Lonchura striata: one gene and its partners. The main gene of each other region encodes a partner of the protein of the gene in region 2 in a complex. Links are inferred from orthologs where the notes say so. Each region holds a gene or a part of one and is shown on either strand. Other genes may lie near its edges. The genes, in order: INTS4, INTS2, INTS12 and INTS7.

Evidence for each region.
Region 1: INTS2 (region 2) and INTS4 share a complex: the UniProt entries of both Homo sapiens proteins name them as parts of the integrator complex. The link is inferred for Lonchura striata from reciprocal best matches to the Homo sapiens genes INTS2 and INTS4.
Region 3: INTS2 (region 2) and INTS12 share a complex: the UniProt entries of both Homo sapiens proteins name them as parts of the integrator complex. The link is inferred for Lonchura striata from reciprocal best matches to the Homo sapiens genes INTS2 and INTS12.
Region 4: the proteins of INTS2 (region 2) and INTS7 are in contact, whole or in part, in a cryo-EM structure (PDB 8RC4), measured with the Homo sapiens proteins. The link is inferred for Lonchura striata from reciprocal best matches to the Homo sapiens genes INTS2 and INTS7. Residues at the interface, in NP_065799.2 of Homo sapiens: Gln27, Lys28, Val29, Cys48, Arg51, Met52, Cys55, Ala56, Ala58, Asp59, Gln60, Ser61, Trp64, Phe92, His93, Ala186, Glu187, Pro189, Ile194, Val218, Asp220, Ser221, Asn223, Glu224, Ser259, Leu262, Lys263, Arg265, His285, Gly294; in NP_056249.1 of Homo sapiens: Leu38, Gly39, Glu40, Cys42, Glu43, Val46, Arg47, Asn77, Phe78, Leu81, Cys82, Leu84, Lys85, Gln88, Gln89, Asn114, Asp115, Pro116, Val117, Ala120, Ile121, Arg124, Val153, Glu156, Val159, Phe160, Ala163, Leu195, Lys196, Pro199.

What each region holds. Positions count from the first base shown.
Region 1 is NC_134604.1:32,552,113-32,560,103, forward strand, and holds the start of INTS4 (integrator complex subunit 4), read right to left. Parts: upstream 3,004-7,991; 5' UTR 2,957-3,003; coding exon 2,903-2,956; intron 2,265-2,902; coding exon 2,070-2,264; intron 172-2,069; coding exon 54-171; intron 1-53. Other genes in the region: BTB/POZ domain-containing protein KCTD14, read right to left, coding at 6,297-6,968, 7,280-7,284. UniProt on the Homo sapiens protein: Component of the integrator complex, a multiprotein complex that terminates RNA polymerase II (Pol II) transcription in the promoter-proximal region of genes.
Region 2 is NC_134622.1:9,345,326-9,353,132, reverse strand, and holds the start of INTS2 (integrator complex subunit 2), read right to left. Parts: upstream 3,004-7,807; 5' UTR 2,956-3,003; coding exon 2,663-2,955; intron 2,208-2,662; coding exon 2,069-2,207; intron 1,451-2,068; coding exon 1,348-1,450; intron 1,195-1,347; coding exon 1,081-1,194; intron 734-1,080; coding exon 603-733; intron 517-602; coding exon 343-516; intron 1-342. UniProt on the Homo sapiens protein: Component of the integrator complex, a multiprotein complex that terminates RNA polymerase II (Pol II) transcription in the promoter-proximal region of genes.
Region 3 is NC_134606.1:47,849,249-47,856,990, forward strand, and holds the start of INTS12 (integrator complex subunit 12), read left to right. Parts: upstream 1-4,731; 5' UTR 4,732-4,861; intron 4,862-4,871; exon of another isoform or gene 4,872-5,320; intron 5,321-5,340; exon of another isoform or gene 5,341-6,257; intron 6,258-7,742. Other genes in the region: GSTCD (glutathione S-transferase C-terminal domain-containing protein), read right to left, coding at 1-243, 1,048-1,296. UniProt on the Homo sapiens protein: Component of the integrator complex, a multiprotein complex that terminates RNA polymerase II (Pol II) transcription in the promoter-proximal region of genes.
Region 4 is NC_134605.1:12,060,505-12,067,674, forward strand, and holds the start of INTS7 (integrator complex subunit 7), read left to right. Parts: upstream 1-4,154; 5' UTR 4,155-4,171; coding exon 4,172-4,262; intron 4,263-4,401; coding exon 4,402-4,531; intron 4,532-4,560; exon of another isoform or gene 4,561-4,711; coding exon of another isoform or gene 4,712-4,779; intron 4,780-5,366; coding exon 5,367-5,513; intron 5,514-7,170. Other genes in the region: DTL (denticleless protein homolog), read right to left, coding at 90-205, 1,330-1,395, 1,860-1,980, 2,069-2,130, 2,425-2,523, 3,361-3,486, 3,900-3,945. UniProt on the Homo sapiens protein: Component of the integrator complex, a multiprotein complex that terminates RNA polymerase II (Pol II) transcription in the promoter-proximal region of genes.

The DNA of each region.
Region 1 (7,991 bases), on a different chromosome or scaffold from region 2:
TGACAGCATGATTCCACCTTGACCTCAAGCATCACATCAAAAGTGAGACTTACTCTCATTCTGAAGGGTGTTAATGGCATCATCCATAATGCAGTCTGGGGAAAATCCTGCAGTCTTTGACAACAACCCCAGCAAGGATGCAATCTTCAGTCTTACAGAGGCATCATTCTCCTGGAAGGAAACAACACCCAAAAAAAGCCCCAGTCCAGCAAGGTTAAAGAAAAAAAAAGAAAACAGCATATATTACCTATATACATCTACTCATTTAAGAAACAGCAAATGCTGTCACAGGTGATAATTACATAAGTAACCATCATCAATGAATATTCCTTTAAAATTAATTTCAAAAGCTCATGCATTTTCGAGATTTATTTCGTGGTTTCTAGAGACTCATGTACCCAAGACTTTGGGTCATAACTGGACCCTCTCTCATTGTATTGCCAAGGACATCCAATGTAGAGTAGAAAGGCAAAAAGTCATCTGGGTGTCATACATGGATCTTATCAGCATTTGTGCAACATTCAGAGTTGCAGAAAAATTACATTAACAAATATCCCATCTTTCAACAAGAAATTTTACAGTTACAACTGTTATATCTGTCAAGTATTTAAGAGAGACTTCAGTGCCACACACAGCCTCCAAGTGACAAATGTGACACCCAAAGTAGCAGTCCCTTTCTCAACTAAACTGAGATGCATTTTTTATTTTAGGGTTGAAGCTATGTGTTTGAAAAATGAATGCTGTCATCAGTACTGCCCTACCAAAATATATAGGGATGAAAGAGCATGAGGCTACAGACCATCTTAAACAAATCAATGACACTTCAAACAAATAAATCATCACATAACTTCCACTGCAGTTACAGCTTTCAGGGTCAGGTTTCTGGATGACCAGGAAAAGTGTGTTATGGAGTACTAAGAAACAAGTTCTTTCGAAAATTTTGTCTGTAAGTAAAATAATGTCAGCTATGGTAGTTTTGAAAGCAGTATTTTTAAAAGCTGGATCCTGTAACAGGCTGTGCTCTTGCCAGTGTGATCCTGTCTGCAGGTTCATGAGTCTTTCTTCTAATACAAGCTACAAAACAAATTTCAAGTACAATGAACCTGTTATTTGACCAGGAACTCTGTATTTCATAGAATCAGAGAATCATTTATGTTGGAAAAGACCTCTAAGGTCATCAAGTCCAACCCTTAACCTAGCACTGACAAGTCTACCACTAAACTGTGTCCCCAAGTGCCACATCTACACATCTTTGAAATACCTTCAGGGACAGTGACTCAACCACTGCTTTGGGCAGTCTGTTCCAGTGCTTGATAATCTTTTCAGTGTGGAAAGTTCTCCAAATGTCCAAGCTAAACCTCCTTGGAGCAGCTTGAGGCCATCTCCTTGTTCTACTGCTTGCTAATTGGAGAAGTTTGGACAGTTTTCTTCATAGATTTGATATTAGGAAGAAATTCTTCACTGAGAGGGCAGTGAGGTACTGGCCCAGAGAAGGTTACCCAGGGAAGCTGCCTCATACTTGGAAATGCTCAAGGTCAGGCTGGATGGAACTTTGGGCAACCTGGTCTAACAGAAGGTGTCCCCTAGCAGAGGGGTCAGAAGTGGATGATCTTTAATGTCCCTCCAACCCAAACAATTCCATGAGTCTATGATTTTAAAAGTGCTTCTTTTTTACTACATAAGCAATAACTAAAAGGTTTCTCCACTGCTAGAGAAGATTAAGAACAAGGTAAGGGCACATCAGTCAGGAAAGTGTTGTATAAAGCTGAAACAGCTCTAGGCAGCTGGGCTCCCTGGAAAACTTGACACGTCTTTTGTCCCTCGCCAAGTTAACTTACACACAAGCCACGTGCAGAGATAACTTGTCACAGGCTGGTGAAACCATCAGCACAGACGTCAAGTATCACAATCAGAAATCACTTGGGTCAGGGGCTACAGCTGCTCACTCTCAGCCCAGGCTGGTGGCAACTGAGTCAGCAACACAGGAGCCTGTGAGCCCCTGTTCAACATCCCACACCAAGCAAACAGGAGTAGAAGGAGCAAGCATGTTTGACTCCCAGCTTCACCACCTTGTAATAATGCTCCAGCAGGATCCTGACAACCCCTTCCACGCTCTCCACTTCCACAGGCTTCCTGGCAAACTGGAGCAGGTACTGCAAGGCATCTGCGGGCGAGGTGGCTTTGCACAGGTCCACGTGGAGCGCTGCCGACTTGCTGGGCTTGGTCAGCCGCAGCTTCTTAGTGGACAGGTCCTCATGCTGCTGCTGTGGGCAGAGGGACAGAGCTCAGAAACACAGTGTATCCAGACCCACTCCTCCCAGACTGAACACGGGGAGGCCTAAGGAAGCTGCCATGTCCCACGGCAGTCACTCTCCTTCATCCATCTGAGAAAAAATACATCCTCGCACCACAGCGGTTGTCACTGTCCTGCCCAGGTGGTCGCTGTCCCCGCGAAACACGGCCTCTCCCCACCCTAGGCTGGGTCCAAACAACTAATCCGGGGCCAACACGACTTCTCCCTCTCCCACCGGCCCGGAGCAGCCCAGCAACTCGCCGTAGTTCCTTCCTCTTCCCCGCAGCAGTGACGGCCCTGCTCAGGTCAAAGAACCAACACATCGGGTCCGGCTGGAAGAAACCACAGCGGGTCCTCTCGCCCAAGCTCCCTCTCAAGCAGGCTCACCTCAGAGCACGCTGCACAGCACTGCAGTGTCCGGACCGCTCCTGAGCATCTCCAGTGAGGGAGACTCCACAAGCACTCGGGGCCGCCCCGGCCCGCTCCCGCCCGACCCCTCGGGGGCCGCCCCGGCCCCGGCGAGCCCCGGCTTTCCCCACAGCTCCGCCTCACGCTCCCGCCGCAGGCAGAGCTCGCAGCCGCCACCCCGGCCTGGGGGGGATGTGTTACCTGGACCACCTTGGTGAACTCCTCGTACACCCGCTTCTTCAGGTGCGCCGCCATGGCGCGGCCGCGCAGCCGGAACAGGAACCGCGGAGGCGCCGGGAGGGGCGGCGCGGCCTCGTCCGCCCGCGGCTTCCCTGACAGCTGCGCCCGCCGTTCGCTGGGACTCGCTTTTAACCCGGCTGTGCCACCTCTGGGTGCTTTTTGAGCGAGCAAAGAAATGATGTTTTTGAAAAATGCGTATTTAACGATTGGCTTCTCGCAAATATTACCGTGAATATTGTATGTGTAATGTTAGAAAGTTATGCTGTGTTAATTCTCTTACGTAGTGTGTTAAATATAGTTTTAGGTTCCAACATAATGTTAAAATAGAGACTATGTGTGGGGGGGGAATTGTTTTTTTTAGAAATTAAATACTTGCTTCGAGGAACGCCTAAATCTTCCAAAGGAGAGGAATTTGTGGCTTCTTATCAGAAGAAACCAATTTCTTCAGGCCTTGCTCAGACTCGAAGATGCCATGGGGCTTAAAGGAAACAGTTGGCATACAACAGACAGAGTTTCTTGTTTTAAATGCATAACCATGAAGGATATATGAATATGCAACGAGTGTATTGTTTTAAGTGTAATTCCTTTGTTCACAAGACGTGCTTTTTGTGACTTAGTGTCTGAGAGCATCCGGACATCCGTAATTCTTTGCTTTTTATTGTCTTGTAATTGTTCTAACTCTAAACTTTATTACTCTAATTGTATTATTATTTTATAACCATTTTATAATTATTAAACTTTTAACATTTTAAAAATCAAATGATTGGCATTTTTCACAATGTTCATCAGTTCTATTAAATAATTCTCTTCATTAATTAGTATTCTGTCCTCTATTGGTTATTTATTCTTCCTTCTCACGTTAATCAGCCCCCATTTCTCAGACTCTTTGTAGGATGTGCTGCAACACTCCAGGTAGGAAGTGTTGCAGCACATCCTGAAGAATCTTTGTTATCTTCTGGTTTCTGCAAAGTTCCCTTATATTCTATAAATGCCGCATTTTTTGTGTCCACTTTCAAAAATACATCTCTCGCAGGTTTTGTTCATCAAAGCATATCAGGGCTAGTTTAGCAAAACTTAAAGTTTCAGCGATTTTCCCAATCCAACTCTTATCAATATCAGTTTGTGTAAAGAAACTTACTTACGTGCTGGCTAAAAGTGACTTAAGACTAATGCAATGCTAATAAATAATATACTGCTTATGATTAATAAATTAATTAAAAATAACTAGAAAATTTATTTCCATCAGAGTAGTAGAATCATTAAAGTCAGAAAAATTTTATAAGATCATGGAGTTCAACTGTTAACCCAGCACTGGCAAGCCAACCACTAATCTCTATTTCCAAGTGCCACAGCCGCACATTTTTTTAACACTTCCAGGGATGGGGACTCGACCAATTTCTTGGGCAGCCTGTTCCAATGTCTGACCACCCTTTCAGTGAATACATTTTTCCTGATTGTTTTCCTGGCACAACTTGAGGCCATTTCTCTTGTCCTGTCTCTCACCTGGCTACAAGCACCTTCCAGGCAGTTTTAGAGAGCGATAAGGTCCCCCTGAGCCTCCTTTTCTCCAGGCTGAACACCCCCAGCTCCCTCAGCCACTCCTCATGGGACTTGTGCTCCAGACCAGCTCCATTGCCCTTCTCCAGGACACTGCAGGGCGTCAATGTCCTTCCTAGAGTGAGTGACACCAAACTGAATGCAGGATTCAAGCATGTACCAATTCAATTTTCTCATGGCAGCAGTCCTAGAGACTTAGGAGGTTGGTTGGTGTGAGGCTTTAACTATTCTATGCTGAGATTTTTTTCCTCCTAATGTCTAATTTTCATCTCTGTTGTTGTGACTTAAGCCAGTTTCCCCACCCTCAGTATGTGCAAAGTGTAACAGATCTCTTTAAAGCATCCTTTTGTCTACTGGGAGGCCTCCTCTATCTCTCTTCTTCCAGGCTGAGCACCACCAACCACTTGATTATGATCATAAGAGCCTATTTCCTAAACATTTTGTCCTCTCAGACACTGACTGCATCCATTCTTAACAAGGCAATGAATGTGACAGATCTCAGAGTCCCTTCACCCCTACAGCAGAACTGCCCCGCAGTTGCTGGAGTGACTCATGGCTGTCACTGGGGGGAAGTCCATGCTAGGATAAGCACATCTGAAACACAGCTTAATTAGGAATGGTTCAAATCTGTTCCCTAAAGACAAAACTTCAGGTCTTTAGAATTTGGGGATCTTGAGGGGGAAATGTCAGTAAATAAATCACTTATGCATCATCCAAAAAAATTGTAAAATTTATTCCTTTGAAATCTCAGGGACCATTCTATGATTCTATGGTTATTGTCCTTGACTGGAAGAAATTAATCTTCCAAGAAGTAAAAGAAATATGATCCTTATCAAATCAACCATTATGATTCTCAGAGTGATTAAAAAAAATCTCCAGTATAAAAATAAACTTTCAAATTCTAAGAATTTTAAAAACACATTGTAGAATGCAACTTGTGTTCTGTAAAAGAGAATTTGTAGGCTGTTGCTTCAGTACCACTTCCTTCCCACCAAATCGTGCCAGGTTTTCCCAATTCTTCCAGGAGCTTATGTAGTTAGAAATAGCATCATAATAATAATGAGTGTCATAAGAAAGAGATTAAGATTGTGTGGTCTGAAAGAGGAGTGTGTGTCCTTAGATTATAAACTCCTCACATCAGTGATGTTTTTGCCTTTTGTTGATCATGGACCGTAGATGAGGTTCTCCGTCTTTCCTTCAGAACAAATAATAAATAATTGTAATAAATACATTGAGTAGAGAGTAGGCTGTCTGCTGGAGGAATAAGAAGCAATCAGAGGAACTGAATCCTTCCTTTTAACCCAGATTATAGTGTAGAAAGGAGAGAGAAAAATTGCTTTTGCCTTCCCATTTAGAAACCAATTTTAATTCAAGTATGTGGTAATATCACTGTTTCAGTCAGGATTTCCACATATATGACCTGTTCCCATTTGCACTGAGAGAGCAACTCTACATGTTCACGAGACATATTTGGGATTATTCATTTCCCTTAGGTTGAGTGAGGTTGGCTCTATTCACAGATCCATCTCTTTGAACTGAATGAATAGTAAGCAACATTGAAGAGTAAAATTTGTCCCTTTTCTGGAGCCTTTTAAATCCCCTAAAAAGTTATCCCCTAAAGCCCAAGTAAAGTGGCTCTTAAGTGCTCTTTGATATGGCAAACAGCCAAAAGAGATCCTTTCATTGGCCTGTGTGTTTCTTCCTGTCCCTCTGGTAGCTCGTCGTTTAGTCTCCACAGTCCAGGTTAATTTGTTCCAGTGATTGCTTTCTAATGTTCCCTACCAATGGCAGCACTTTGCTACCACCAGGTGAACAGGAACTTGTAGAAGAAGTCATGCGATTTGAAGCGAAAACCTTTTTCAGCAACATGGGGCTGAAAGGATATTTTATACCCTTTGGCTTCAACATCCATTTGAATGCAGTCCAGCAGATCAGAAATACTGGGCACAGCCTTCCAGGGGCCAAACTTCACCACAGATTTTTTATCCATGTCCAAACTGTTCAAGACATCCTGACACCTGGCTGCGTCCTCCTCGGTTCTGACCACACATACGATGACGCTGGACTGTCGGGATGCAACCGCTTCCGCCCTGGCGATGCGGATCATCAGCTCGATGTTCTCGCTGTAGTTGGGCACACGAGCCAGAAACTGCCTCCTCGCCACGAGCTCCCCAAAGATCTGTGGGGAGTCCTCAAGCTGCTTGATCAAAGGTTCTATGTCATAGAACAACGCCTCCTTGTAGACGTCCTGGATGCACTGGGTGGGCACTTGGTTACTGCGCAGGTATTCCAAGATGTATTTGAAGTAGGTGCCTGGCCTGTCAATGAAGAACCTCCCTTCAGAGTCAGTCCTGAGTTTGGGCTGGCCGGTGAACATCTCTGCCAGCTTAGAGCCAGGGTGTTTCTTCAAGGTGCTCAGTGTTGTCGTGTACATCTCCCCACCAACATTTAACTCCACAATTGGTGACAACTGAAAAAGAAAAAAGTGAAAAGCGATGTTCATTATCAGTTTGAGGTCATCAACATGGAAGCGTCAAGGAAAAGGCAGATTGTTGTGGTTGAAGGATGGAATGAGTGAAGAGCAGTATGAGCTCCCATTTTGTGGGTATCAGATGGGAACCTCCACCTGATTTATTGCAAAAAGCATCTGCAGAATGCTAATACAACTCTCACAACCTGAGCAGCAGAGACTTGGACATTTCTAAATGACAAAGTCCTCACCTCATCCTTGGAATGTAGGAAAGTGTCATTTTCCTGGTGGGAAAGACGGAAAAGAAGTACCCTGCCTAGGAAATCTGGGAGTGACTACAGGATCCAACACTGATCTCCTAAGTCACTCACAAGCATTGTCCCTGTGGGCCACCTACAGCAACTCTCACCCACCCCTTGTGCAGAGGGACAAAGATAGAGCCCAAAGCTGTGCCACTTCATTTTTATCATCTGAACTGTTTGTTCCTCTTCAAAGGAGAAACTAAAGCTCTTTATAATGGGTGGAATTGGCTTCCACTCATCTGGGGGTTCAGCTGCAAACACTGAAGACACAAAAATCCGTAATGTTGGAGGTGAAGGACAGAAGCTGTTTCGCAAAGCACCTTAAAAAGTATGGCTTTAGTTAGGAAGTAAAGGAAATATTTCATGCAACTGACATGGACTTAAGAGGAAAAAAATGTAAAGATTGTGGTTTTGTTTGCATTTTTAAACCCTCTGTATTAACACCATTGTGTGAATTGAAGGAGGCCTGAATACCTGGAAAGCTGGATTTTTAAAATTTGCCTTCCTGTATATTCAGTTCTGAAAAATTTTACCAGCTTCCCTTCGCACTTGGTCATTTTATGTAGTACTCAGCAAGTGAAAAGAAAAGGGAAGAAAGAAAGAAGACAGTTCCTTTCCTCCTGCCAGCACTACTGTAATGCGAGTCACAAGCCAGGCCAGGGCCACACCTGCCATTGGGAAGGCGTGAGTCAATAAACAACCCTATTTTCCAGGAGCTCAC
Region 2 (7,807 bases):
GGAAGAGGGTCATTTTTTTAAAATACAGTTTTCAGCTCCAAGGTTTAACTATATCACCTGAGCATCTTCCCACTGTGAGCACTGAGAATGAACATTTTTATCAGGCAAGTATTACAAACATACAGTTCCCTGGTTTCCATGCCAGGGAATAACCAAATAGCTGCTGCCTTCGGGGACATTATTCATAGAGAGCCCCATAAGAGAAGGTTGCCTTATAAAGGTTTCTCCAAGACGTGCAACGGGATTTATGTGCATTCAGACAAATCTGCAGCACACATCCAAGAGTTACATCAAGCTACAAAAACATTTCTTAAAAAGCAAAATACTCTAAGATTTTCTCACCTGTTGCCCATTTCGGATGAAAGTTCCAAACCACGTCCGAACCTTTGCATTTGTTCCAAGCAGCAAACCACTCACAAAACACACCAGATCACTCACTCCATCATCTGAGGATTCATTCTTGGTGTGATCCAAGGTCAAAGCCACACCAAGACCTGGCAGGTGACACTCCTCCACCTGGATAAAACACTCAGGCTCAGTCATCTTTGTTGGGTTTGAAGCTCAAGGAAGGTTCTTAATTTTGATTCTCAGGACAAACTCACCACCATGCCCCGGACCCTCAGGGCTTGGGAAGGGTTCATCTTGCACAAGTGTCGAAGAGCTTCGGTCCTGCGCCGGCCTCCGACGCTCTCCTCATCCTGCCGCTCGCCGTTCTTAATCAAACCTCGGCACACTAAAGGCCCAAGAGCAGCTCTCAGGAATCTGCCCTTCCCAACTCAAATTAGCATCAGATAATTTGAATCATCAGATGGCTCAGTGGAATGGACACAAACCGTTGGCAGGGATTAGAGGAGGTTCTTAGCCCCCACCATTCCCTGCCCAATCAGCCTTTGTAACAGTGCCCTACAGATGAAAAGCTGTGACACATACAGCGAGCCTGGCCTGCAAGCAGGCTGCAAAAAATGGGACTCAACATGCTCAGGTGGCAGCATCCAGCAGCTGTACAACTCCTGGTTTAGCCCAGAATTAACCACGCTGGTAGAAATCACTTCAAAAGCTGGAGAAGAAGCTGTAACTCACCCTCGTTAAAGCTGTCAGGGACATTGGCCACCAGCAGGCAAAGGAACCAGGCTCCATTCTTAACGTGCAGCAGAGCTTCAGCCACATCCACTATTGGCAACAGAGATGGCAGCTCTGGGTGGAAAGAGGGTGTTAAAAGTCACAATGTTTCACTGGGAAACGAAAGCTGCACTTCTTAGATTAACCTTACACATGCCACAAAAGCTCCTAAAGTTGCTTTGTTACATTTGTGACAGGTCAGAAAAGGCCATAAATACAGAAACACACCTGCTTGCAAAATGCAGAGAACATCTGCTGCCTCCTCCAGGTAAACAGGACTCTCGAAGAGCTCAGAAGATTTGAGGAAAAACTCGCCATTTGATTCTGACACCTGTGAGACAACATTTATCATCAGTGAACAGGTTTCATGAAGCAATTTGTCTAAATCTGTTTTAAATTCAGCATGTTTAATAGATTAAAAACTGCCAAAACCATAAAGCTATCAACACAGAACAAGAAGGAAAAGTTTGTAGAATAAGAAATATTTACTACTGGAAATACTTCAACACAGATGGTATCATTGCTTCTTTTCAGAAGAAAAATAGCCCACTGACATTCTAAGTTTACACAAGGAAAATAAAATGCTTGGTGAGGAAGGAAGTGGGGGAAGAGAAATATGATGGCTAATACCACACTGCAGTAGGAGCAAAGAATGGGATGGAGAGAAGTCATCACTTCATTTCCAAATTATTTCTGCACTGACAGATCACCAAATCGCATTATGTTTGAGTACAGCATATTATAGAGTCCCTATAACATCAGGAAATATTTCCTTTAGGAAGTCACAAAGACTTTAAGCACAAGCCACTGTTCAATCAGACTGAGACTGAATCTTGATAAAGCAGGTAAGGACTACAGAAGAGTGCTCACACCACCAGCAGCACCAGAGACACAACCAGTTCAGAGGGCAACCTAAAACTCACAAATATTCCCCTACAGGGGAGTTCACCTTGTTCATAATGGCCAGCAACTCGCTCAGCACCAGCCGGAGCCGCCGAGGAGAGTCACTGTGCTCAAATTCCAGCGTCAGCCCGTGCTGCAGCTGTGACACCAAGATGCTTTCTCCGCTGCCACCTCCCAGCTTGTGCCTGGCACACAATTCAAAAATTCAAAACAACAAGCATTAAACGTTTCTGCAAAGACAGAAATGCTTCCAGCTAAAGGAAGGCAGCAGTTCCCTAGGGATCTTTTCTGTCCTTATTATAAAGACTGCTGTACTGCAGTACAAGAAAGCTAATTCAGTACATTATCAAAACTTCAAGTGCTTCTATTCCCCAGCAGCACAAAGCGTCAGGAAAGGGCATCCACCTGAGCTGTGCCTCCATCCCACAGAGCCATGCCAGCCCTTCCCTGCCGGGCAGCTCCCGCAGCGCATCCCGCACCTCCGCGGAGCACGGCGGGGACAGGTCCCAGGACACACAGCTAAACCCCAGGGCTTTCCTAGGACAGCATCGAGGGACACGAATGGCCGGGTTTAAAAAACTGCAGCAATCGGAACAGCTGGAAAAGCCACACAGCGCTTCCGCCACGCTCTCTGCGTTACCGGAGCTGCTGCTCCTTGCTGGCGTCCTGCTCCAGCGCGTGGAAGTCCACGGACAGCAGCGCCACGATGGAATTGACCGCCTCGACCCCCGAGAGCAGCCGCAGGATCAGCTTCTTGTCCTGCGCCCAGCTCTGGCTCTGGTCGGCGGGCGCGCACAGCGCCATGCGCACCAGGCAAGGCAGCAGCAGCCGCAGCTCGGGGTCGCTCAGCGCGGCCAGGCGCACCACGTCCACCTTCTGCATCGCCTCGAAGGCGTAGGGGCTGACGAACTGCAGCGCCGAGCACTCGGACATGGCGGCAGCCGCGGCTCCCTCACGGCCCCCGCGCCCACCCGCCGCCACTACCGGGGGAAGCGGGAAGTGACGTCACGGCGGGAGGGCCGAGGGGCGGGAACGGCTGAGGGGCGGAAAGGGAGAGGCGGGAAAAGCTGAGGGGCGGGAAAGGCTGAGGGGCACCGCCCTCCCCGCCCCCTCAAGAAACCCACATCACAATCAAGGCTTCATGAATAATTTATTCCATTTGAATTTTTTTTCTTTTTTTAAAAAGTATAAACCTTTTTTTGTTTTGTGTTTTTTTTTTTTTCTTCTTCATTTCCTCGATCACAATTTGTACAACTCAGTGTTTATGGCATTCGGCAGAAATAGTGTTTGTTCCTTAAATCCGCTTTTTCTTTTCTGTGTTTTGTCACGATGAAATGCGAGGCTCCCTGGCACATCCAGCCGTGCCCGAGGGGTGCTGGAACAGCTCCGGGACCTGTCCGGCGAGGCATTGGAACAGCTCCGGGACCTGTCCGGCGAGATGTTGGAGCAGCTCCTCGGTGGTGCTGGAACAGCTCCAGGACCTGTCCAGTGAGACATTGGAGCAGCTCCTCGGTGGTGCTGGAACAGCTCTGGGACCTGTCCGGCGAGGCGTTGGAGCAGCTCCGGGACCTGTCCGGCGAGACGTTGGAGCAGCTGCGGGACCTGTCCAGCGAGATGTTGGAGCAGCTCCTCGGTGGTGCTGGAACAGCTCCGGGACCTGTCCGGCGAGGTGTTGGAGCAGCTCCGGGACCTGTCCAGCAAGATGTTGGAGCAGCTCCTCGATGGTGCTGGAACAGCTCCGGGACCTGTCCGGCGAGGCGTTGGAGCAGCTCCGGGACCTGTCCAGGGAGACGTTGGAGCAGCTCCTCGGTGGTGCTGGAACAGCTCCGGGACCTGTCCGGCGAGGCGTTGGAGCAGCTCCGGGACCTGTCCAGCGAGATGTTGGAGCAGCTCCTCGATGGTGCTGGAACAGCTCCGGGACCTGTCCGGCGAGGCGTTGGAGCAGCTCTGGGACCTGTCCGGCGAGGCGTTGGAGCAGCTCTGGGACCTGTCCAGCGAGGCGTTGGAGCAGCTCCTCGATGGTGCTGGAACAGCTCCGGGACCTGTCCGGAGAGGCGTTGGAGCAGCTCCGGGACCTGTCCAGCGAGATGTTGGAGCAGCTCCTCGGTGGTGCTGGAACAGCTCCGGGACCTGTCCAGTGAGACGTTGGAGCAGCTCCTCGGTGGTGCTGGAGCAGCTCCAGGACCTGTCCAGCGAGGCGTTGGAGCAGCTCCTCGGTGTGTCCGGCCGCGGTGTTGGGACTCCCCGTGTGTCCGGCCGTGCCGGTGCGGTGCCGGAGCGGCTCCGGGCGTGTCCAGCCGTGCCGCGGGAGCAGCTCCGAGGTGTGTCCAGCCGTGCCCGAGGGCCGCCGTGTCCAGTCACGAGGCCACAAGGCTGCAGCAGCCCCAGGCAGCGCTCGGCAAGGTCCTCACGTCCAGTTGACTCGGAAAAAACCTAAAGCTCGATGAGTAGCATCCTGAAAAAGTGACCCTGAGGATTGTGGTAGGTCCCAAATCCAGTTTTACTGTAAATTAAGCTTTACTCCGCTGAAAAGAAAAAGTACACCCACAAATAATAGTAAAAAAACCCTTTAAGAACGAAGCGTAGTCCTGGGCCCTTTACTTTAAAAAAATGAAAAAAAAAAATAAATAAAACAAACAAAACCACCTTCCCAACTGGAGGTTGCGAGACAGTAATGTTGTACAATGTCACGCCATGAGTGAATTCTTCAACAAAACCCAGATGAAAACAAGGTTGATGCAGCGTTACTATCCCAACAGACTGATATGTGGTGCCGTACTGTTGTGCAGCAAATTATATGGTGCAATAGCATTTTTAAAAAATGTTTTACTCTTATTCTTGAAAGCTTTAAAATAATGCAACATAATATTTTGATATTACAGTATTAACAAATAGTGCTTGATTAAAGACATCGGCAAGTCTTCATAGCAACACACAAAGTTAAAATTACCATCAGAGGTAAATATAGAAATACAATAATCTGCGCCATAACTGACAGCTAAGTAAGAACATAGCTGAGGATTTAAATATAAATCCATTTATCTTTAATTATTTCAGAGAATGTTAGAAATATCTAAATGTTACAGCTACTTTTAAAATGTGAGGGCTGTTACAAGTACAGCTGGTGGCCTTGCTGGTCTTAGCAACATGGTTTTCAGAAACCTAATTCAAATAGTAGTGAGTCAAATGTGACTAAAAGGCTTAAATGCAGTAACATCTGGGTTAAAATATGTATTTTTTAATTGGAATGGAAGGATCTCGGCTTCTTTCATTGGAAGAGATAAACCTCCACAGCTACTTAAAGCACTGACACGAACAACATTTTCTTGCAAGGCCGTTTTGGAAACCTGTAGCTGAATTTTTCAACTACTTAAGCTTGTACTTGCTAAACAACCTCGATTTATTGGATTCTGACAATTTTATTTATAAACCACCTATTATGTGCACTTAAAATAGTTAAATGAAAGTAGCTAACAAAAAAAGTATGTCAAATATAATAGTTGGCTCCATGGTGCTGGCAGGTTTGATTGTACATTGCCAGCTGTGACTATCACTCCAGAAACGGCCCTTCTAGTCTTTTATAGTGGTTATAATATTATAATTTACTTTAAATTGCATTTGATGGGGGGGGAGGAGTGGGAAACTGGCAGCTTTCACAGTAGGAGTTTCACAGGGAAGGCTGGTCCAGGTAACAGAATACAGTTACACCAAGGTTCAGGCAGCTGATTCACTTACCTTTAGGAATACAAGTCAGATTGAACACAAAACAAAGCCACACCAAAACCCAGCCCTTGGAACTTGGTTAACTGAGCCAGGGTTAGAAATGACCACTTAGCAACAAAGCTCAAGGAAAAAAAGGACATACACTTTGAAATTTCCAGTTTTAGGAGCACTTTTCCACTTCAAAAATGCCAACCAAATGAGAAAAACCTTCTGTAAGACAATAATGTGCCGTTTAATCTGCGGTGCATTACCGAGATAAAGTCATGGACAGACCCAGTTTTTAACTCTATTTATCAAAATATGCTAACTTCTGATTGCACTCATGTTGTTCTGAAGAAATGACTGAAAATTCTCATCACCAATTGTACAACTTCTTTATACAAAACCAAAAAAGTTGCTAATATTGTATGTACACGATTCAGTGAGACTGTTCATACGAAAAAAAAATCACCTCAGGCAGGTCTTTTGCATTTACGAAACGAGATTTTCATGAACACAGTAAGTTTGGTAAATGCAAGCAAATTCTTCCTTGTAGAGGGGTTAACAGCAGGTGCACAAATAGATCTTAAACCTTGCTCCTTTACAGGTTTAAACCAGCGAGACAGACAATATTAAGACCCAGGACTTGGGTTATTGTGACAGGCTCCCGGGAGCACTGCAGGAGTTCAGTTTTTCATCTGGCAGTCAGATAAGGAACGCAGAAAAAGCATCTGCAGCTGCTCTTCAGCACCCGTAGGGGCTATTTTAGAGCAGCCACAGACATTTGGCGTGTGCTAGGAAAAAAAGGAAGGAAACTACTGAGAAAAAATGGTGACTGTAGATAGAGGGAGATGTTTAGGAAAGCCTTGTGGTTTGTCAGTCCCTTCCTTGGGGAGGGCAAAGCCTCCTTGGCACATGCCCCAGCCAGAGCCTGAAAATGGGATATGGGGAAGGCCATACATTGATACTTGGGACCTTCACCACAGTGCCAAAAATACATGGAAAAGGAAAATGTTCAGGGTTTCGTGCTGTTTTTTTTACTAGTGGAATAAAATCTGAATACCAGAATTCACTGAGAATCTATATACACCACATTTTAGTTAAACACACACCAATCTTAAAGTCAAGATTGACTATATTTTTGCATTTGTAAAATGGCTAGAGCTGGGCTAAATTTCAGCCTGGCAGGAGACTTTGGATAAGGTCAGAGTTTTCTGTGTGTTCCACCTCAGATTCGCATTTTATCACAAAAGCAGAAGCAAACAATGCAGTGAGCACGGTGCCAAGAATATCCAGGGAGCAACAATGCACAAGAGATGTTCTTGTGATATTAAAACTCGTGTCCTGGAAGTGGATCTGAGAATCTAGCCACAGCCCTGAACCATAACACAAACTTCAGTTGAAGAGTTTATTCATGTTATTCTCACTACAAGTTAAACCACCTACAATATCACTTATATATTGCCATTGTTACTCTGTAAAGGTGTGATATAAAATGCTGTAAGACCCGGTACCTTTTCAATTTATATAAACACAGTGAACTTCATTACTGTACATGTACTCTGCAACTACAGCTTAGCTGTAAATCCCCCACACACAATGGTATGGACATTAACCCCTCTATCCCCGTTAGACTGTACATCAAGACAATACAAATTTACTGTCCCCACCCACCCCTTACAAAAAAATAATACTCTAAAAGCAACCTACTGCAACTTTTAATTAAGACGATTACATATATTTTAGACCAATTGCTTTAAAGCAAGAAGGCAGTATAAACCTTCTAGGAAAATTTTTATAAAAGAGGTTAAGAAATATAAGACAATTTATACATTTAAAAACTTACAATAAATAAGAGATGCAGGCATTTTTGAATACTAAGTACTATAATCCAATACAAGAACATCTTGATGTTCTGAAGCCATAGGTTGAAACTTAATTGTTCCTCGTGTTTCTTCTCATCTCCATGCTTTTAAAATTCATTTACCATGACTGGGTACTATGGCTCATTACTCTTCACAAATACTGTGGCTGGGGAAAAATGGTTAATTTTGCTACTAAAAACGTTATAATACACTTTCTG
Region 3 (7,742 bases), on a different chromosome or scaffold from region 2:
ACATCTGGAGATTAAGTGGACCTCAAGATCACCAGCGAGGCTTTTTGTCACACACTGATCACCCACATCTTCGCCAGTTGGCACTAAAAAAACTTTAAATAATTTGCAGTCACAATAGGATAGCAAAAACAGTGAGATAGATGTATGAAGAGGAAAGATACTATCTCTGTACTGATGAGAAAAAGCCAAATATAAATGTTCTTCAGCGACATTATCTTTCATCTTCTTCCTGAGATGAAGTTCCTGAAATAGAAATCAGAGTACGACATCCATAAAAGAATACAGAATAGAAAAAAGAAAAGAAAAAAAAAATTAGAGCACTGGTTCTTCCACTATCTGCTACAACTGATTTTAACATAAGACACTACTAAAGACATCCTGCATCAATAATTGGCAGGCCCTTAGTTAAGGGAAAAGAATGCTTTCACATCTACACTGTCTCTTCACATATAAGATCAGGAATAGGAAAATTACCTCTGTAATTTTTTTTTACACTTTAGCGTATTTCTGACACCAACCAAAACCTAAAAAAAATGTTTCATTTTCAATTTTTAAGTACATAAACATTTTAAAGCAAGTTGGGTTTTTTACATTAAAATCTTCCACAATATTAACCATGCATTATTTAAAAAAAAAACATTTCCTGAGCACATATCTACAACAGTCAGTTCTCTAATACAAACATCTGTCTTTTTGTAACTGCTAAATGGCATTTAGAGTAGGTATTTAGGCCTATTTAGGGAAATAATATTGGTTTTTGTATTAAAAATTAATCCAGAGCTGGGTGAGATAATAACATAAGCAAATAAACATTCATCTCATGATACTACATGAACACCTTAAACACACAACTACTTTAACGCAGTCAAATTCAACAATAGCAAAGCTGAAATTAATATCTTCTCAGTATATTAAAAACTCACATTAATTTTCCTTACAGTGGGTTGCAAGCTACATTTTTCCTACTACAGTATTCCACGGGAGTTTAACACAAGGCGCTGAAGCAGTAATTTTTCTACTCCATCGCTCAGCAGAACTGCCCATTACCTGAGATGACAGGTGGCACCGGAAAGCCTCAGACACTAGATGGCCCTCGCGGCACAAGTGACACGGGCACAGCAACAGCGCAGCGAGGAAGAGAAACCCCAACGCTGCTGAGAAACGCCAGAATAGGGTTTTATACACATATATATAAAGCATGAATGGCACTAGAACAACACTGTCTAGATTAATGAGGTCTTTGACAATTACACGCATGATACAAGTATTTTTTAAAAAAGTTTTAATTTCATACATCTTGATTATTCAATTTATTTTTTTCCATGTAGACATGAACATCACACTTACTATTTCATATTACCTACCAGAGGGCCAAAACAATTGCCCAAAAGGGGGGAGTGGAAGAATAAAATCAAGTCTACCTGACATTAAGAATACTGATGTCTGTTATAGTGAAACATTTTTAAACCACTAAATGACAAAAAAAGTGTCTCTGCTACGAGTACTGCTGCTTTTCTTTAATTAATACACTGCCACACAAAGAACAGGACAGTACACAATGCCATACCTACTTTACCACAAGATATTTTATTTGGATAAATCTTGACAACATGGAATCTGAGACAGAGCCTATATCCTAAGTACACCTCTGTGGCAGAAATCATCCAGTGAAGGCACAGCCAGAGAGGTAAATCAGAGAGAGTTATTGCTACCGTAGTCATACCCATAGCTTCTAGTATTTAAACTCCTATCCTCAACTACAGTACCTCTTGCAATATTAAAAAGTACTCTTGTATGCATTTTGGTTAATATTTTTGTTCTCCATGTGAACTCAAAGAACTCACAAGTCCATCTTTTGCTCAGCACGCAAACCACTCAGATAAACACATTCACCTGATCACTCAATTTTTTTATTCTAGTTGATGTTCCTGGACTCAATCAGCTATTTTGGTCATTCTCATGCTATGCAAAACTACTAAATATTTTGGTAAACTCTGACAAGGTTTCTATTTCCAAAGTATATTATTCTATAGTTCCCATCTATTAATCACCTGTTGTTAAAATTTATTTTTAAAAACTTCTTACAAGTAATTTTAACAAACTGGGCTTCCATAATGACTGCAACTTGATATACAGGTCATTAGAATATCAACACATTCAGTCTGGATTTATTTGAATTGTTAGTTATTGCAAAAATGTCTATGTTTCTCCACCACACTGAACAGACTTCTTTCTCAGAGAGCCTTGCAAGGTTAAAGTTTCCCGTGTTCCTGTTACACGTGAAAAAGCAAAAGCACAAAGAGAATTTATAGCTCAGTGTCACACTGGAAGTCTGTCCTAGTGCAAGCCAAAAATTTGGACATTTTTCCTTAAAGGCTTTGTTGTTTGGTTGGCTGTGAGATTTTGGGGGTTTTTAAGGTCAGTCTGCGACAATGAAAATTACAGTCAGGCTAACTGTATTCTCAAATCTCTCAGAGAAGAGAAGCTAAAATAATGTGTCCAGGAGTTCTGTCTATAAGTGACTTTACCTCTGTTTCCTCATTGTTTCCTGTAAGAAGAAAGGCCTTCTTGAATCATCACTTCAACTGAGCTGCATACCCTTATACTGCCACACCCAACCCCTCTCCCATATTTTTGGATAATTCCTCTCAACATTTTGTCTCTAAGCACTGACGTTATAAGGTCACCTCCTATATTTTTTGTTTCGAATACTGGTGCTCTTCCACACTGTTTGGTTAGACAGAATCTATATTCCTTGTGGACTTATGCACATATTTTCAATTCAAAAACTTAACAGCCTAAATGGTTGCCCATTCTCACTTAAATCTTTTCACAAAACTACTACCTATCCATTACATGTGTTTATTAATCCCTTGGCAACTTACTGAGAGAAAAGCAGACGTAGACATACACAATAAAATGAAATGTGCAATACAGAACTAACCAAACCTAGTAAGACATTGTACTGTTTGCTCACAGTATTTTTTCCCAGCACTTTTTTCTCTAATTAGGCTGTAAATTCTGTGGGAAGAGATGGATTTTTATTCTATTGGCCGTATTTACAGTAGACACTGTTTGAAAGAGAGAAAATGAAAAGCAATGTTCAATGTTACAATTTGCACTGTAACTTAAATGACAAAGATAAATAACATTGCCTACCTTTGGTATAAAAGACACCTACTTTAAAATTACAAATAATATGTAAATGTAAGTTTCACTAGCTGCGCTGTTTTTACCATTTTCTCCTCCCTTTCAACATGCTCTAAACCACAGTTAAATTAGGTCCACTCAGTTGCCCTGTTAACAACGTAATAAAGAAAAACACTGCTTTAAAAACAAGTGTTTCCCATAAAAATTAAAGACAAATAAATACATAAACATCCTCTTCCTTTTGAAAGGAAAAAGATCAAAAAGATCCTATTCATTTGTTGGTTTCTACACAGTAAAACGGAACTTCTGTAAAGCAGGCGCGTTAGCATTTGAGAAACGCTTAATATAATGCCACTTAACGCGGCAAACATTTAACTTGGTGCGAAGCATTATTTGTGCTTTAAGGCACGTCACTTGAGAGCCTGGAGCTGTATTTCTATCCAAGACGACCCATTTACTGCACGCGTTCGGGGCCAGCCCTGCTCAGAAGGGGGAAACAGAACAGCTTCGGACCCGAGCTGCAGGCGGGCCTGCGAAGGAACAGAAAGCTGTGGTCGGTTCTGGAGAGCCAAATGCGGGCGGGACTCGGGGACAGGGCCGGGACACGGGGACAGAGCCGGGACGCGGGGACACGGGGACAGAGCCGGGACACAGGGACAGAGCCGGGACACGGGGACAGGGCCGGGACACGGGGACAGAGCCGGGACGCGGGGAACAGAGCCGGGACGCGGGGAACAGAGCCGGGACACGGGGGACAGAGCCGGGACACGGGGGACAGAGCCGGGACACGGGGACAGAGCCGGGACACGGGGGACAGAGCCGGGACACGGGGACAGGGCCGGGACACGGGGACAGAGCCGGGACGCGGGGTCAGAGCCGGGATGCGGAGACAGAGCCAGGATGCGGGGGACAGAGCCGGGACGCGGGGACAGAGCCGGGATGCGGGGGACAGAGCCGGGACGCGGGGACAGAGCCGGGACGCGGGGACAGAGCCGGGACGCGGGGACAGAGCCGGGATGCGGGGGACAGAGCCGGGATATGGGGGACAGAGCCGGGATACGGGGACAGAGCCGGGATACGGGGAGAGCCGGGATGCGGGGACAGAGCCGGGACACGGGGAGAGCCGGGACGCGGGGACAGAGCCGGGATGCGGGGGACAGAGCCGGGATATGGGGGACAGAGCCGGGATACGGGGACAGAGCCGGGACACGGGGAGAGCCGGGATGCGGGGACAGAGCCGGGACACGGGGAGAGCCGGGATGCGGGGGCCAGAGCCGGGACACGGGGACAGAGCCGGGACACGGGGACAGAGCCGGGATACGGGGACAGAGCCGGGACTCGGGGACAGAACCGGGACACAGGGACAGAGCCGGGATTCAGGACGGCAGCACACGCCTGGGCTCCCGCAGCACAGCTCCCTGCAGCCCCGCTCCCTAAAGCTCTGCTCGCAGCTGCTGTCGGTGCAGCGCTGCCAAAGCAGCCCCGGGGCTCCGGCAGCGCCACGTTCCCTCCATCCTGCCCGTTCCCCGCTCCCTGCCCTTACCCGGCCCGGCCGCTTCCGTCCCGGCTCCGCCTCTTCCTGCGCCGCCCGGAACTGCTGCGCGGGGACTGCCGTGCCGCCGGACCTGCCGGGGAGCCTTCCTCCTCCTCCTCCTCCTCCTCCTCCTCCTCCTCCTCCTCCTCCTCCTCCTCCTCCTCCTCCTCGTCTCCGGTGAGACACCAGCGGGCGCGGAGAGGGAACTCGAGAGGATCGGGAAGAGGAAATTTGGAGTGGGAAGGGGGAAGGAAGAGGGAGACTGGGAGGGGGCAGAGAACGACTGGGAGGATGAAGGCAGAGGGGAGTTGAGAGAGGGAAGAGGGGGTTTGGCAACAGGAAGAGGGAATTTTGGGGTTGGGAGGGGAAGAGGGATTTAGGAGGAGGCAAAGGGGGTTTGGGAACGGGCAGGAGGAGGGAGATGGCGAGAGAGCAGAGGGGTCTGGGGAGGAGAAAAAGAATTTAGGAGAGGGGAGGAAGAGCAGGTTTGGTAGCGGCAAGAGGCATTTGGGAGGAGAAAAATGGGGTTGGCAGAGGACAGTGGGGGTGAGCATGGATGGGAGAAATAGGATGTTGGCAGGAGGGAGGAAGGGGGAGCCCTTAGGCACACCCGGCCGCTCTTCCCCTCGGGCCCGGGTGAGCTTTGGGTGCCCTGTGGGGCAATAATGGTTGTAGGAGGATGGCATTTTATTCTTTTAAGCATTCTAAAGTGTTGCTCTCAGATGAGAGGCCTTCCCTTCGTTGGTAAAAAGAAATCCCAGGGAGAAATTTGCAGCGAGTAGATTGCGGAGGGTCACGTCGTGGCTTTGGCGTAACTGCTTCAGAAATTCATTTTTGACTAAAGCTTGCTTCTCTCTCTGAGACATGATACCCAGGAATTTGTACACTTGATAAGTTTCAGTGTGGATGTTGAATAATGCAAAGATGAAAAGATAGAGAGGTGTACTCAATTGGCCAGTGTTTTAAGCCAATGAGCACTGGCATGTTGAAATATCCTCGGGTCCATTTTCTGCAGAATATTGAAGCTCAGTGGTAGCAGGGCTTAGCAAATCTCAGTTGTGCAGGTGCAATTATCACAAAATATCCTGAGTTGAAAGGCACTCACAAGAATCATACCATTTATCAGGAAAGGGATTTACAAGGAAACATCACCACTGCTGCATGGAAGAAGTTTGTTAGTGACAGCAGACACAGATAAGGGTCAAACAGTTGATGTCTTCTTTGTCACAGACTTGACCTGTAAGGTCTCACAGGGCCTTTTGCCACAAGGCAGAGCATAAGGAGAGGAGGAACTACAAGTTGTGGAAGAGGATTGAAGCAGATTGTCCCTGATAAGTCCATAGGCCCACGTAGACTTCATTAAAGGGTGCCAGCAACTGGCAGCATCTACACAAAGCTGCTTTCTGTCATCTTTTAAAGGCCACGAGACTGGGGGAGATCCCAAAGACAGGAGAAAGGCAAATCTTATCTTCATAAAGGGCAAGAAAGACAAAGAAGAGAACTACAGACTGGTCAGCCTCATTCCTTCCTCCTGTGAAAGGATCGTGGAGGAAGCCATTTGTGGCAAAAGAAGGTAGAAACTGGGAAGAGCCAGATCTACCAAGGATAAATCATGCCTGATCAATTGGCATGTCCTCTGTGACTAAATAGCTAGATCTGGAGATGGAGGGTGTGTTGGATACCATCTGCTCCGGGCTTAGGGGGATATAATGGAAGCTTGAATTTTCTTGAGGGTATTATTGGAAAGATATAGAGCCAGTCTTCATAGTCACATGCATAGTGGGAGAATGAGAGACAGCACAACTTAAAACCTCCAATTCAAAGCAAGGAAATGAAGGCAGTGAGGCATTGGGACAAGTTGGCCAGAAGGATTTTTGCATTCGTGTCTTTGGAGATTTTCAGGATCCAGCTGGAAGAGCCCTGAGCAAACTGGTCTGAATTCAGTGTCAACTTTGCATTGAACAGGAGGTTGCACAGGGTGACATTGTGGGGTCCCTTCCACAAGGAATGATTCTGTAATCCTGAAAGAATTCACTGTTTTTGTGGAGAAAACAGAAAATATAGGGCATTAATGTAATTTTTAAAATATTGGATAAGCTGTTTGTGGTGATATTGATTGGAATACTAATTTAAAAGAACATTATAAAATATGTTGTAGAATAGAATGTAAAATTAAGGATGCCAGTACTAGTAACTCCATAGCAGGAGATCTTATAAGTGTCTCAAAAGATTCTTTGAAGACAATGACAAGAAAATTAGAACGGATTAATACAATTGTTCTCATTAATACAGTTATCCAGACTACTGAAGTGCGTGAGTTTTGAAATGTCCCTTGTGGAAAGTAACTGAGAAATTATCCTGTCATAAATCAAGTGCTGATTAAGATAGTTAAGCAGCTGAAAATAGAAGTTAATTTTTTCCTCCTTTTAAGATTTTCCTAGATCTACTTTCTTCAGAATCATCAGATCTGAAAGTGACCTGGAAGAGGCATTATTGGTAAATAAGGAAAATCTGCCACTGTCGCTGTTAATAGATGTAGTCAGGAAGAGGGTAAATTCTGAGGAATAGAGGGATCCAAAGTGACAGGGAAAAGTGAATTGTTTTTACAGTGGTAAATGAAAAATAGTGCAGTGAGTGTGTTGGAAGGAATTATATAAGCTGTTCGTTCATGTGACTTTTTTAAGGTAACTGCTACAGATCTTGAAGGTCGCTGAAAAGGATATGTGAGTGAAAGGCCTTTTAATCATAAGTGGCAGTAAAAAATAAAAATATTGATGAGTTTATAAAAGGATGGCATAATAGCAGAAGACTTTAATAGCATTGCAATATAAATAGAAGATGTGTACTTTCTTTGAAAAACATCTTTAGTAGTATACGTGCCTCAGAAAATAATAACAGGAGTTCAGAAACAGATGGTTGAAAGTATGACTGTATCTGAAAATGTAATGGAAGTAGATCCATTTAGCTGCAAGTCATGATGAATAAGATAATACATGGGCAGGTGTGCAAAACAGTAGATGGCAAATGAATGAAAAAAAAAAAATAAGAGGGCTCCTAC
Region 4 (7,170 bases), on a different chromosome or scaffold from region 2:
ACATATTTCTCACTACATTTACTTAGGAAGAATTCTGTGAATACCACTGTCCCCAGAAGGAACATTTTGTTTGTTGCCCAGATACCCACCACCAAGGGAGCAAGTCCTCTCAGGTTCTGCCTCCTCTTCTTCAGTTTGGAAGGAGTCTGCTTCTCAGCCACATTGTGTGCTCCACTGATTTGATTTACCTGCCTGTAAAAGCCATCTGAAAGAAATCAAAGACATCTCAATTAGTAGTTTATATGCAATTTTGCTATCACTTTAATAAAACAGGCATCAGTTTGGGATTAGACCTAAAAGGTAACTTAGGTTAACCTTTAAAATCATACATGCATCCTGAAAACAAAAATTACTTATATACAAAACCAGTGAGAAAAACACAGTGCAAAAAACTGCAGAGGTCAGTGTAGCATGAACATTGAAACTAAAACTGATCTAGGCAGACTGCCTTTGGAAATTATTACCCCTTTATCTGTTTTTCACATGCATCCCGGTCTGAGTGTTCTACCCACTCATCCCAAGCAGAACTGCACTCACTGGAAGATTTCCAGTGCTCTATTTTATAATTTCCTGTTCAGCCTTTTGTCTATTACCTTTAGAAATGTACTGCCTTACTAGAGTAAGGCGACTGTTCTACTTTTTTTTTTCCTACACCTTCCACTTCAATCATGTGGAGTCAGTCAACTTTTCATTCACTTGCCTGCTTGAAAAGCCAAGGAACCTGGGACAGATGGAAGAGCAAGACATGTTCAGGCAAAGAAACTGGTGTGGCAGAGCAGGGAACTGGGAAATGGCATAAGGGGAAGGGGCTGGAGAAGGAAAAGCTCCAGGAAACAGAGGAGCAGAATGAGCTCACATATTTATAGTAGGTGCTCCCACAATATATTCAGTTGCTACCAGCACTCACAAGCTCCTTTTTCTTACATTTTCTGCCTTCCTTTCTACTCTGGCAGGAGCCTTTCCAGCTTTTCCTCACCCCTCTGGATGGCTCTGACCTAAGCAATCTCTCCTATCTCATCTGCTTTGCACTGCCCTAGCAGGGATGTATTCTATACAGCCTCATGTCTTTACCTACACACATGGAATTCTCAAACCAGCCTGTGGTTTGATGCTGCACATCATCAACTGCTGCAAAGTAGAGAAATGTCTTATACATATATAACAGAGATACCTATTCCATTCTCTTACAGCACCTAAAGCAGTAAAGTTATCTGAGAAGCCTCTGCTGCCTACATTGTAATTAAAAGTATCAGTCCAACAAGTCCATCTGAGCAGTCCTTTTACACGAGATACCAAGCTTTGTTGATACATATTTGAAAGTTTATTTACCTTTCTTGTTGCACCTGGTATCCCAAACCATGATGTTTCCATCTCTCCCTCCAGTACAGAAAACAGCTGCAAGAAAAAAAAGTGTTATTACCTTCTAAAAGCATTCATTTAATTAACTGAATGCAGTACAATGCACCTATGTACCTCTGGCTCTTCTGTCCCAACACTTGTGATGCCAGTCCTGGAAATATAAAACTCAGGCCATTGTTTTTCCATGCTTTTTGACTTGCTATCTTTCCCTTACTATCCTTTTCTTACTCCCACTAGAGAAACCAGCTCATGGAAAGTATATTCACACGCTTGGGTATGGAAGCAGATATCCTATCTTTGCCCAAGATCAGCAATGTGCTGATTTTAGCATAAGGACACCATCGAGTTCTAACTAGACAGTTTTGCTTTCCTGGCTGGGTCACTGCTCAGGCCTGTGCTATTGGTACCCGTCAGTTTCCAAAGCCTTTTTTCAGCCCTTAAAAGTACTTTGCCGGGGGTAAAGAAGGAAAAAACAGACAACAGGGAATACCAACATTTACCTTTCTCAAATCTAGAAAAAGCAACTGACTTGAGGCTACACTGGTGACCTTTGCATATGCCAAGAAGCTCGCCAGCTCTCACATCCCACACCTTGGCTGTCTGATCTCCTGAAGCAGTGACCTTCAGAGGGAAAAATAAAAAGCTTAAGTCATTTTCTGTACAGAGGTGCCAAGGCATTAAAAAAAAGAGATGGCAAAAGACTACTTACAATCCTGTGTTCTCCTGGCACCCAGGCAAGGTCAAACACAGCATTTGAGTGAGCCTGCCATTCTAACAAGAAAACAAAAGCCAAGATTAGTTCAGTGCATCGCAGCATGGTATTTTGCAAATGACATCTGGATTGTCATGAAATCAGAAATCTTGTCAACAGTTTGCCTTAGGCATGAAAGACAATACAGAACAATTCATCTACTACTGCAGTAAGAGCACATTGTGTTGCTGCTATGCAGAAGGAATAAAGTACTGCCTAAAATTTACGTTTTAAGGACTTGCAAAAAGCTCTCTTTGATTCCAGCAAGTCCCACACTTGTCACATCAAATGAAGATCACCTTCTATACATTTACCTTTAAAGATGAGCTTGCTGGTGGTCTGTGCTTCAGTATCATACAGTCTAACAAACCCTTCTTCATTTGCAACTGCCAGGATGTGCTCCAAATTTGGGGCTGAAAAGAAATTGAAGCGTATTATATTATGTAGCTAATACAAAATCCTACCCTTGCTCTTTGTGAAAGCCACAGATGTTTTAAATAGGGAATGCAGCAAACATAAAGCTGTGAAATAAACAGCATTTACATAGCAACCTAACTGTAAAAATACAGAAATACTAGCAAGCATTTTTTCTAGATGTGCCGTTCTAAAATGACTATACATGGGCAATCAAATGACTCCAGAAACAACTTTTGAGATAATACCTCTTCCACCAGCTATAGCAGTTTTCTAGTTACAGTTTCCTATCTCTAGAGTACCTATCATCTACAGCCTCCAGCATTTTCCATGATCTGACTTGGAAAAGAAGGAGGCCACCTTAGAGAAATGTAAAATCTCATGCCAAAACTAGAGTACAATGAATGAAGAAGTTTTGCCCTAAAGATCCAGGAGCTCCATTGCTTACTCCTTTCCCCCATCATGGGGAAATGCTGTGTGTAACTCCTGGTGACATCCATCCACCTCTGATTTCTACCTAATGTTCTCCACCCTATTATAGTTTTTAGATATTTTGAATAAAGCCTAGTTTTTCGCCTATGTAGCCTCACACTATCTCCAAGAGGACATGCCTTGAAGCACACACACAGATGAAACAAAGAGACACTAAAATAAATGCTTTATAGTTGCTTCTTTGAGGGAATACTTTCCATCAGTATCTAGGTGCACCACGATCCAAAGTTTATCACGTGTAGGAGCAAGCAGGCTGCAGGAGCAAGCTCACTTTAAAACAAGAAACTGCTGAAACAGAACCTATACCCTGGCCCCTCAAAAGATCATTCAGGAGGTGAATTTACCTGTAGAAAAGGTGCAGCCGAAAGGAGGGACTGGCATTCCCGTTCCCCCGTACGACAGGTGGTCATCTTCTCGGCTGCACTGGTAGCTGTCCAAGAGATGCTGCAGGGGAAGCGCTGAGGACCGACCTACAACGGGACAGACGGACCGTAAGCGCCTCAGACCCCACAGGCTCGGGCGCCACGAGCCGCAAGGCGGCCGCCGCGGCTGTGCGGGCGGCCGGGGATGGATGGGGAAGGGAGGGCGTGCGGGAAGGCGCGGGACCGGCGGGGAGGCGCGGGACCGGCGGGGAGGCGCGGGACCGGCGGGGAGGCGCGGGACCGGCGGGGAGGCGCGGGACCGGACGGGAAGGCGCGGGACCGGACGGGAAGGCGCGGGACCGGCGGGGAGGCGCGGGACCGGACGGGGAGGCGCGGGACCGGACGGGGAGGCGCGGGACCGGACGGGGAGGCGCGGGACCGGACGGGAAGGCGCGGGACCGGACGGGAAGGAGCGGTACCGGACGGGAGGCGCGGGACCGGCGGGGAGGCGCGGTACTCACGGGCGGGCGCGGCGGCGGCCCGGCGGAGCAGCGCGCGGCACAGCATGGCCACGGGGACACGGCCGAGCCAGCTCCCGCCAAACCACCGGCCCGCCAAGCGCGCCGCGAGCCCTCATTGGTCAGCGGCGAGCGCGCCGCGCCTCGCCCGCCTCCTCTGATTGGGCAGCACGGGGGTGGGCGGGCCGCGCCCGCCGCCGGCTCCCGCGGCCGCGCCGGGCGGGCGGGGCCGGGCGCGCGGCTGCGCGTGCGCGGACCGGCGGCGAGCGGCAGCCATGGCGGCCAGCGCCAAGTCCTTCCTGGCCGACGCGGGCTATGGCGAGCAGGAGCTGGACGCCAACTCCGCCCTCATGGAGCTGGACAAGGGTGGGCCCGCGCGGGCTCGGCGTTGTCGCCGCCCCGGGCAGCGGGGCTGGGGCGGGGGCTCCGCTTGGCAGCGCTTTGTGCAGGGCGGGGGCGGAGGAAGGAGCCGGGGCTGTGCGGTGATTCCTGCTGTCTCCTCTAGGCCTCAGGTCCGGCAAGCTCGGGGAGCAGTGCGAAGCCGTCGTTCGTTTTCCGAGGCTCTTCCAGAAATACCCGTTCCCCATCCTCATCAACTCGGCGTTCCTGAAGCTAGCCGATGTTTTCAGAGTGGGGTGAGTACTGCCCGCTCGAGCCTGCTCCGTGGGAACGCACTGTGCCTTGGAGTGTGGCTGCGCTGGGATCTGGCATGGCCTGCTTGCCTGCCAGCACCGTTCTGGTACCCGGTCTGTTGCGGCTGTGCTTGATTGGAACTTGTTTTCCCCTTCTTTAGTGGGCTTGAGTGGCTGTGAGTGATGACACAGTTCCTTTCCATCTGTCCTGATTTGAGGATTCTCTCTCTGACTGGGTTAAGTTCACTGGTGTAAGTTTTGCTCCATAAGCACATTCAAATCATAACTCATAAATGGATGGATGATCACATGTGCCAATTTTAATCTAACAAAGCTCACAAAGTATAGCTTTTCCAAGTGCCTGGTGTCTGAGTGATGTACATAATGTAATCAAAACTCCTTCTTAAAAGCTTACAAAGGTGTATTCTGATGCTGCGGAATCTTCACTCTTGCCTTCAGGAAGGAAAATAAATTTGCTCAGCACTTGACAGTGGTAATTAAGACTTCTCTGTCTTAGTCTTGAATGTGTTTTTCCAGCAGATCTGGATCCCTGTGTGTGCACAAAACAGGCATCCTTACACCCCTCCTCACTGGTGTCAGCAAGTTCATTGCCCTGGAACTGGGCTTTAATTTGACACTACCTGAACTAGAAAATAAAGCAATAGTATGTTAATAGTATCTGTTTTACTCTATCAGTCTACGCAAATGTTTCTAAAGCATTGATATCTCCTTGTTTTAATTTGCTCCAAAAGTTGTAGTTAAATAATTTTAGTATTTAAAGTACTTGAATTTTTGTTTCAAAATAGCCTGACAAGGAAACGTATGTGTTTTCTAACAGGAACAACTTCCTGAGGCTGTGTGTGCTGAAAGTTACTCAGCAGAGTGAGAAGCACTTAGAGAAGATCCTAAATGTGGATGAATTTGTCAAGAGAGTTTTCTCAGTAATCCATAGCAATGATCCGGTTGCTCGGGCTATCACACTGCGGTATGTATGGCATGAGTGATCTGACTTACTTCAAATCTGGTGAATGATTCTGATTTACTTCAAACCTGTAGGTCTATCAATGTGCCTGTCTGGAATAACAAGACCAAATGCAAGGCATTGCATCTGGGCCACGGCAATCCCTGGTGTCAGTCCAGACTGGGGATGAACAGACCAAGAGCAGCCCTGCCTAGAAGGACTTAGGGGTGCTAGTGGATGAAAAGCTGGACATGACCCAGCAATGTTCACTGGCAGCCCAGACAGCCAAATGTGTTTTGGGCTACATCAGAAAGAGCCTGGGCAGCCAAAGGCCAAGGAAGGGGATTCTGCCTCTCTGCTCCCCTCTGCTGAGACCCCTCCTGCAGTTCTGTGTCCAGCTCTGGGGCCTCCAGCACAGGAAGGACATGAACCTGTTGGAGGGAGTCCAGAGGAGGCAACCGAGGTGGTTAAAGGGATGGAGCACCTCTCTTGTGAGGAAATGCTGAGAGAATTGGGATTGTTCAGCCTGGAGAAGAGAAGACTTTGGGGTGACCTAATTGTGGCCTTCCAGTACCTGAAGGGAGCCTACAAGAACGATGGAGAGCCTTTAGTGATAGGACAAGGGGAAAAATGGCTTCAAACTGAAAGAAAGTAGGTTTAGATAAGATACTGAGAAAAAATTCTTTATTTTGAGTGTGGTGAGGCACTGGAACAGGTTGCCCAGAGAAGTTGGAGGCATTCATGGATGCTTCATCCATGAAACTGTTCAAAGCCAGGTTGGATGGGGCTTTCAGCAACCTGGTCAAGTGGAAGATGTCCCTGCCTATGTCAAGGAGTTTGGAACTAGATGGTCTTTAAGGTCCCTTCCAACCCAGGCCGTTCTGTGATTTTGTGAGTTAAATAAAGGAGGCTTTTTATACATTGCTCATAGAGTTAAAAGCAGAAACATCTGTCTTTCAAAGGCATGAATGATAAGGATTGGTAATAACAAGGACAAGGTAGTAACCACTTGTGATGGTAAGAATTTTGTGAATAAGTAGAACAAGGTTATTAACCATTTATGATGGTAAGAATTTTGTGGATGGTCCCAGGCAAAACATAATTTGCAGTGTTGAAATTTTATGTACACCAGAGAAGAAAACTGAATCTGTTGTATGCATAACCCAGACAGGAGCTATATGTGATATATCTCATCTTGCTAGGATACTTTTAGACCAAGTGAAAGTGCTTCCTTTTGTGTCAAAATAGTTTTTGTTAACTTGCAACCAAAACTTACATGAACCTTGTTATGCTTGCACTATGCTATTCATTCTGCCTTGTCCTAGCTAGAACTGCTAGATGATCTCTGATCAATAACTTCTAAGGAAATGCTGTTATATTACTGATTGCTTTGAACTTCTGGGAATCAAATGGGAAAACAAAATTAATCTGTCTTTCATGTCACTGTCCTGCTGGTTTGGTGACTGTGTCTCTAATACTATCCAACATGATCCTTTTAACTGCATTTTCCAGCCCCTGTGCAGGTGAATTCAAATGTGAAGAGAGCACTTTCTTTCTTTATATTCTTTTTGTGCCTCCATCTGGAACTGTTACTGCTGGGAGATGGGGAATCATTAACAGAGCTTTGATTGATGAGGTCAAGTGTCCATTTCTTTTTTCTTTCAGTATTTCATTTGAGGTT